2 linked regions of the Oryctolagus cuniculus genome follow. The protein of the gene in region 2 interacts with the protein of the main gene of each other region in a biochemical or structural test. Links are inferred from orthologs where the notes say so. Each region holds a gene or a part of one and is shown on either strand. Other genes may lie near its edges.

The links.
Region 1: the proteins of SPTBN2 (region 2) and ACTR1A form a complex in vitro, tested with the Homo sapiens proteins (2 studies listed by BioGRID). The link is inferred for Oryctolagus cuniculus from reciprocal best matches to the Homo sapiens genes SPTBN2 and ACTR1A.

What each region holds. Positions count from the first base shown.
Region 1 is NC_091446.1:27,488,860-27,491,690, forward strand, and holds part of ACTR1A (alpha-centractin), read left to right. Parts: intron 1-110; coding exon 111-327; intron 328-1,350; coding exon 1,351-1,443; intron 1,444-2,037; coding exon 2,038-2,212; intron 2,213-2,315; coding exon 2,316-2,377; intron 2,378-2,831. UniProt on the Homo sapiens protein: Part of the ACTR1A/ACTB filament around which the dynactin complex is built. The dynactin multiprotein complex activates the molecular motor dynein for ultra-processive transport along microtubules.
Region 2 is NC_091432.1:5,206,931-5,210,743, forward strand, and holds part of SPTBN2 (spectrin beta chain, non-erythrocytic 2), read left to right. Parts: intron 1-58; coding exon 59-152; intron 153-209; coding exon of another isoform or gene 210-255; coding exon 256-387; intron 388-2,113; exon of another isoform or gene 2,114-2,724; coding exon of another isoform or gene 2,725-2,902; intron 2,903-3,813. UniProt on the Homo sapiens protein: Probably plays an important role in neuronal membrane skeleton.

The sequences.
Region 1 (2,831 bases), on a different chromosome or scaffold from region 2:
CTTGGTACTGGGTCCATTCGAAGGCCCCTGGAGAAAGGCCCCAAAAGAAGTGAGTTTCTTCCAAGAGTGAGGAGCCAGGGGTCACTGATGCTTTTTATGCTCTGCTTCAGTTACGCCACTGGCAGGACCACAGGCGTGGTGCTGGACTCTGGGGATGGTGTCACCCACGCTGTGCCCATTTACGAGGGCTTCGCCATGCCGCACTCTATCATGCGCATCGACATCGCTGGCCGAGACGTCTCTCGCTTCCTTCGCCTCTACCTGCGTAAGGAGGGCTACGATTTCCACTCATCCTCCGAGTTTGAGATCGTAAAGGCCATCAAAGAAGTGAGTGCTGCCCCATGGGCCTAGGGATGGGATGGGGAATGGTGACCTGCACTGAAGAGCGATTCCTGGCCACGGGGATTGTTCAGGTCCCACCCAGCCAGGCCTCCCGGCCACTGTGTGATCCCAGCCCACTCTTGCTGATGGAGTCAGCTTCCAGAAGCACTGCCATCTTGTGGAAGGAACGGGAGCTGCTTCCATTTCCTCAACTGAATAATGGGTACAGAGGAGCTCATGACTTTTTCAAGATTTTATGTATTCATTAGAGAAGAGAGGCAAAGTTAGAGAGAGAGAGAGAGAGAGAGAGAGAGTGGTCTTCCATCTGCTGTTCACTCTGCAAATGGCTGCAACAGCTGGGCTTGGCTAATCCAAAGCCGGGAGCCGGGAGCTTCTGTTTTTTCTAGGTCTCCCACATGGGCACAGGGGCCCAAGTACTTGGGCCATCCTCCACTGCTTTCCCAGGCCGTAACAGAGAGCTGGATCAGAAGAGGAGCAGCCAGGACATGAACCAGCACCCATATGGGTACCGCAGGCGGAGGTTTAGCCTACTACACCACAACGCTGGCACCTCATGATGTTTTTTTACTTTAGGTCCAAATTAAGTTGCATAGGTTCTTCTACATCTTTGAAGAGGTCATACTTCATTTTAAGTAATTGAACTGTCATGCCACCTGTCACTGTAGGGAAACCCCTGCGCTGGGTCAGGAGGACCTAGAACTGTGTGAAAGGTAGGAGAAAGATGTCATCTAGACCTGTGCTAAAATTGTGCGTGGTCTCAGACCCTCAGTATAGACAACCAAGCATCCAAGCTTGCCCACCAGGAAGGTGGAGCAGTACAAACACGTAGCCTAGATGCCATCCCGCGGAGGCTGACAGAGACTCCCCTGCTTCTGCTTCTGGGTAGCAGCTCTTCCAACTTTGAGGGCAGTCACTGTCAGGGGTTGGTGTCTGCAGCACGTGGCTCCCCCAGGATTGTGGGTGTGTGCTACGTGTTCCTGCCAGCTGACGGTAATGCTTGTTCTGCAGAGGGCTTGCTACCTGTCCATAAACCCCCAGAAGGATGAGACACTGGAGACAGAGAAGGCTCAGTACTACCTGCCTGATGGCAGCACCATTGAGGTAGGTGGCTGGACCCCTCCCCTTTAACCCCTCAGGTCCACAAAAACTCTGGGCCCAGACAACAGGCCTGGAGGGGCTATGGTCCAGTCCAACGGTCCTTTGCCCTCTGCCTAGAGCCACATGAGCAACGTGAGCAGCCCTGCTCCTGCAGAGCAGAAGGCAGGGCCTGTGCTCCCTCCCATGTAGGGGGCGGGGGCTCAAGCAGGATCACGCTAGGTCTTGGGATTGTACGTGGATGGCTGGTGCCATCCTGACCACTCCTGGGCACAGTGCAGGCTGAGCTGCTGCTCCCTGGATCTCCCATTGCAAGAAGTTTCCATGATTAAATAAATGAGTGAATCCGCACAGTAATGTTAACGATCTCTTAGCTGGAAAGTGCCAGAGCTAGAATTAAACATAGGCACGTCTCCTCTTTGTTCCCCAGAGCCTTATCTCTGTCCCTTGGGCCCCTAACGTGAGTGTAGGAGTGTCATGTGGCAGGCCTTCGGAGCCACCTGGTTACCGAGAGATGGGCAGAGGCGCTGCTTCGATTCCCACCCCTAAAGGGACTTTGGCCCCAACCCCACCCTTTGAAGCCGGCCCTCCACCCTGCAGATTGGTCCTTCTCGATTCCGGGCCCCTGAGCTGCTGTTCAGGCCAGACTTGATTGGCGAAGAGAGCGAGGGAATCCACGAGGTCCTGGTGTTTGCCATCCAGAAGTCTGACATGGACCTGCGGCGCACGCTGTTCTCCAACATTGTCCTCTCGGGGGGCTCCACCCTGTTCAAAGGTTGGTCTTTGCTCATAGGGCCTTTCCCCTGGAAGCTTCCAGAGCCTGCTGGGCCCAGAAAGCCAAAGAATTGACTTGAGATTCTACTTTTCTGCCCATTCAGGTTTTGGTGACAGACTACTGAGTGAGGTGAAGAAGCTGGCTCCAAAAGATGTGAAGATCAGGGTAGGAGCATGGTGGGCCCCAGCAGGGTAGCCCTGGGCCCCACGTGCTCTGGCCTTCCTCTGGTTCTGCCCGAGTTGTTGGGCAGCCAGCACTCTACAGGCAGTAGCAGGTGGCTCCCAGCCTACACCTGGACCCTCAGGCTTAGGCTGGCCAGAGGAGGGCTTACACAGTCCACCTCTTCACTCAAAAGGAGGGTAATTTTAATACCCAGATGTTGTGGGGCCTGGCGCTGAGGGCCCCATCAGTCTTTTCAGGACAGTGTAAAGTGGACAGGGGTTCAGTTTTATTGCTGCTGCGCTCTGGCTCCCGTGTGGTGCAGTCTGGCATCTTGGTGCAGAAGGGACCCTGCAGGAAGGAGTGTGGTTCCTGTGTGGAGTCTCTGCCCCCTCATAGCCCCAGCTTCCCCAGGTGAAGGTCGGGCCAGCCACAGTTGCCTCCACAGAGGCCACGGGGT
Region 2 (3,813 bases):
AGCCCTTGCTGTTCACCGCGGTTGCCCTCATGCATGTCTGTTGTATCCCTGTCCCCAGGCTTTCCCACTGGGGGCTGATCTCAACGGCCAAACAAGCAGGACGTCTGGCCTCGAGGCGAGCGGGGCAGACCCAGGCAGGAGGGTAGGACACGGTGAGCGGAAGGCTCGGTGGCTCCGAGGTGCCCCTCACCAGCCACGTCCTCTTGCAGGATCAGGAAGCCGTCCCCACCATGAGCAGCACTCTGTCGCCCACAGACTTCGACAGCTTGGAGATCCAGGGCCAGTACAGTGACATCAACAACCGCTGGGACCTGCCCGACACCGACTGGGACAATGACAGCAGCTCCGCCCGCCTCTTTGAGAGGTCTCGGATTAAGGCGCTGGCAGGTGAGGTCATGAGAGGGTCGGTGAGGAGGTGAGGACCCAGGAGAGCCAGAGCACCCCACCAAGGCCCTGGTCCCCCCAAATCCAGGCTCATGAGTGCACTGGATGTCCTCCAGCTTCCTGGAGAAGCCAGCCCTGCTGGCCCACAGCGTCCCCTGCCTGTCCCAGGCCCCTGGGTCATTTCCCTCCATCCCTATGCACTTTTACTCTTGCTGTCACTTCTGTCCCCACCCTCCCCTCCCAGTTGTGTCTTCCTTCATCCCCACACCTGTCCTCCCGCCCAGCCTCCCCAACCTGTTCCTTCCACCTGCCGCCTGTTACTCCCATTATTTCACAGACCTATTCCCTGAAGCAGGTTCTCTCTGCCCGCCACCGCCGCTTTCCACAGCCAACCAGGCTCGCTCTGGGCTGGCCTGCCTCGGCCCCTACCCTGCCTTGCCCTGCCCCGCCCTCCCCTCGGGCCAGGGCTCTCCCCTTCTGGCTGCTCTGGGCACAAACAAACCCGTCCAGCGGGCTTCCTTTCGATGGGGGGGGGGGTTGTCTTGGCAACAAGAGTGTGGCTGCCACCTGACACCACCGGCTGTCGTGGGGCTGAGTCACCCACACACCCGAAGGCCACCCACCCTGTCTGGCTTCTCTTCTCCATCCCTTCCTCATCCTCCTCACTGCCACTGACCCTCCTGCCGCCCAGCCACTCCCACCTGCGAGGTGGTGCTGCGGACTGGGGGGGAGGAAGAGGAGCGGCTCCCGGGGGAGGTTGCTGACGCCACATGTTTTATAGGATCAGCCAGGGATGATTTTTACACACGCAGCTTCCCAACGCCCTGGGCATGGCACATTAGGATCTTTGGACACATGGTCCAGATTTCAGGACTTTTAAAACCTCCCCAGGGCTAGCGTGAGGCCCCTTTGCGGTGGCCATCGCTTCTGGAGGTCCTTGTCATTTTCTCCTGCATCTCTGCGTGGCTGGGTCTTTGGGTGGGCTGGTGAAACCCTCATGTTGCTGCTCTAGTAGATCAGAGAAGACAGAAGGTGTCGGGGTACGGAGACCGTCACCTCGTAGGGGAAGTGGTACCCTGACTTTGGATTTATGTAGCACAGCAGTCGTCATGTCATCATGCAACACGTACCACACAGCACCATCACTATGTGCACATGACATGTGCCACCAGGGCTGTCACTAGGTGTGTACACAGGACACGTGTCACCCAGGGCTGTCACCTACCATGTACACATATGTCACCCAGGACTGCACTCTATCTGTATACATGTGCCACCCAGAACTGTCACCACGTCTGTTCACATGGGATACTTGCCACTCAGGGCTGTCACTGTGTCTGCACACAGGATACGTGCCACCCAGGACTACTACCATATCTGTGCACACGTGCCACGTGCAACCTAGAACTGTCACCCTGTACACACAGGACACATGCCACCCGGAACTGTCATTGTTTTCTGTAGGACGTGACACATGCCACCCAGGACTACCACCATGCCTGTGCACACACAAACACACATGTGTGCCATTCTGTGCTGCTGGGTGCTTCTCTCCAGTCCTAACCTGAGCCCCCCTGACAAGGCGTTCCTGGATGGGCTTTGCCCAGCGCTGGACCTCGCACCAGCAGGTGCCAAATAAATGCTGAAAAACTGTAGGGGGGGGGGGGCAAATGTAAGCTGCAAGTGACAAAAGGCTGAAGTCCGCGGAGAGGTGGGAAGGGAAGCCGGCAGGTGCACCGGCAGTGGGGTGCATCGCAGGGAAGGGGCTGGCTCTGGAGGCGGCGATGACACATGCGACCCCTGTGTCTGGATGAGAGACCACAGGCAAACGCCTCTCAAGGCGCCTAGATCTGCCTTTCCCGGTTTTTCTTCCTCCGCTTCCTAAGCTGGGGATCGGAGCCTGTGTCCCGGGGAGGCGCCAGCCCCGCCCCGCCTGCAAACCTTCGGGAAGTGGGAGATGGCTTGGGACCCCTCTCCCAGGTCTTCTGCCCTCTTGGACAGCTCGGGGCCCCAAAGGGCGGGACTCCGGGCGCTGGCGGGTCCTTTCCGCCCGCGCAGGGCCGGGCCCTCGCCCCAGCCAGGCTCCGCCTCCCACCCCTCCCCCGCACCGTCCGACCTGTTTGTCTGGAGCCGCCTCCGTCTCCCCTCGCCGCCGCCAGGTGTGCAGCGCTCACTTGTCCCGGGAGCCCGGACGTCCCGTAACTCTGCCAGCCCGCGCTCCTCGAAACCCCCACCTCCCTGGAGCCCCCGCCCTGCCGTGCGCCTCGGGGAGGGGACGCTGGCCACGGCGCAGGGAGCATGGACTCGGGGCCGCGGGCGCTGTAGCAGACAGCGGGCACCATGAATGGGAACGGGGTGAACAGGGGGCCCGGGCACGGCCTGAACGGGGCCAGCGAGTTTTACTACGACGCCGTGGAAGGGGCCCAGAACCCCGGGGGCCTCCCGCTGTCGCCGGCCGCGTTCATCAACCCGGCTCAGTACGCCAGCGTGCTCGAGGGGCGCTTCAAGCAGCTGCAAGGTGAGCTCCCCGCCGAGGGGAGCCCCCGGGGCGGGCGGGTGGGGCGGCTGTACCGGGGCCCCTCCCCGAAGCCGGAGCGCAGTACCCCGTGCCGGGGTGGGGAGGGGTTGTGACAAGTGCCTCCGGCTTAGCGGGGCTCCGTTTCTAGCAGCCAGGAAATCCCTGGATACAGGCAGAACCGGGAGGTTTCTTCTACGGGAGGGGACCCTGTGCGACTTCCAGGCACCTGGCCAGGTGCATGGAGGGAGCCAGAGGCCCAGGGACCCCAGCCTGCTGTGCAAGGGGAGTGTGTAAGGATCCAGGGATGTTGTGGGGGGGTCTTGTGACATCACACCTGGTCTCTGGTGCTTGGCTTGGTCCATTTTTCTCCCTCCCCCTTTTATCCTACCTATGTACCAAAATGGCCCCACTGGGGTGTGCCTGGTGTCAGGGCAGTGCCTCCCCGGGGCCAGTGATGGTCAAGGATCCAGGACCAGCCTAGCTCAGGCAGACCCTTCAGGCCCAAGAGGGGGCCCGAGGCACCCCTTGGCTCCACAGGTGCTACGAAGCATCCCACACAGTCATTAGGACCCCAGGGTGGAGGTGAGAAAGGCAGGCGCAGACATGGGTGTGTTGCTGGGGTTTATGGGTGAGGTGCACAGGAATGTGAGGTGAAAGGGTGAGTCGTTCCAGTTGCTGAGATGCAAGGCCAAGGAGTCCGCGGGACCAGCCCCTGGGCGGGGTCCTCGCCCTGGGCTCTCTGCAGGGGGCTGGCAGAAAGCCTGGTGACCACCGGAGCCCCTTGCAGTGGCCCGGGCCTCTTCCTTCGCTCTGACATTTCTAAAAAGCACCATTTGTGTTTGTCTGTGCAACCTCACGGCTTCCCCCGCCGGCCAGGAGCTGCCCCCTGGCCCAGGCAGCAGGCCGCTTCC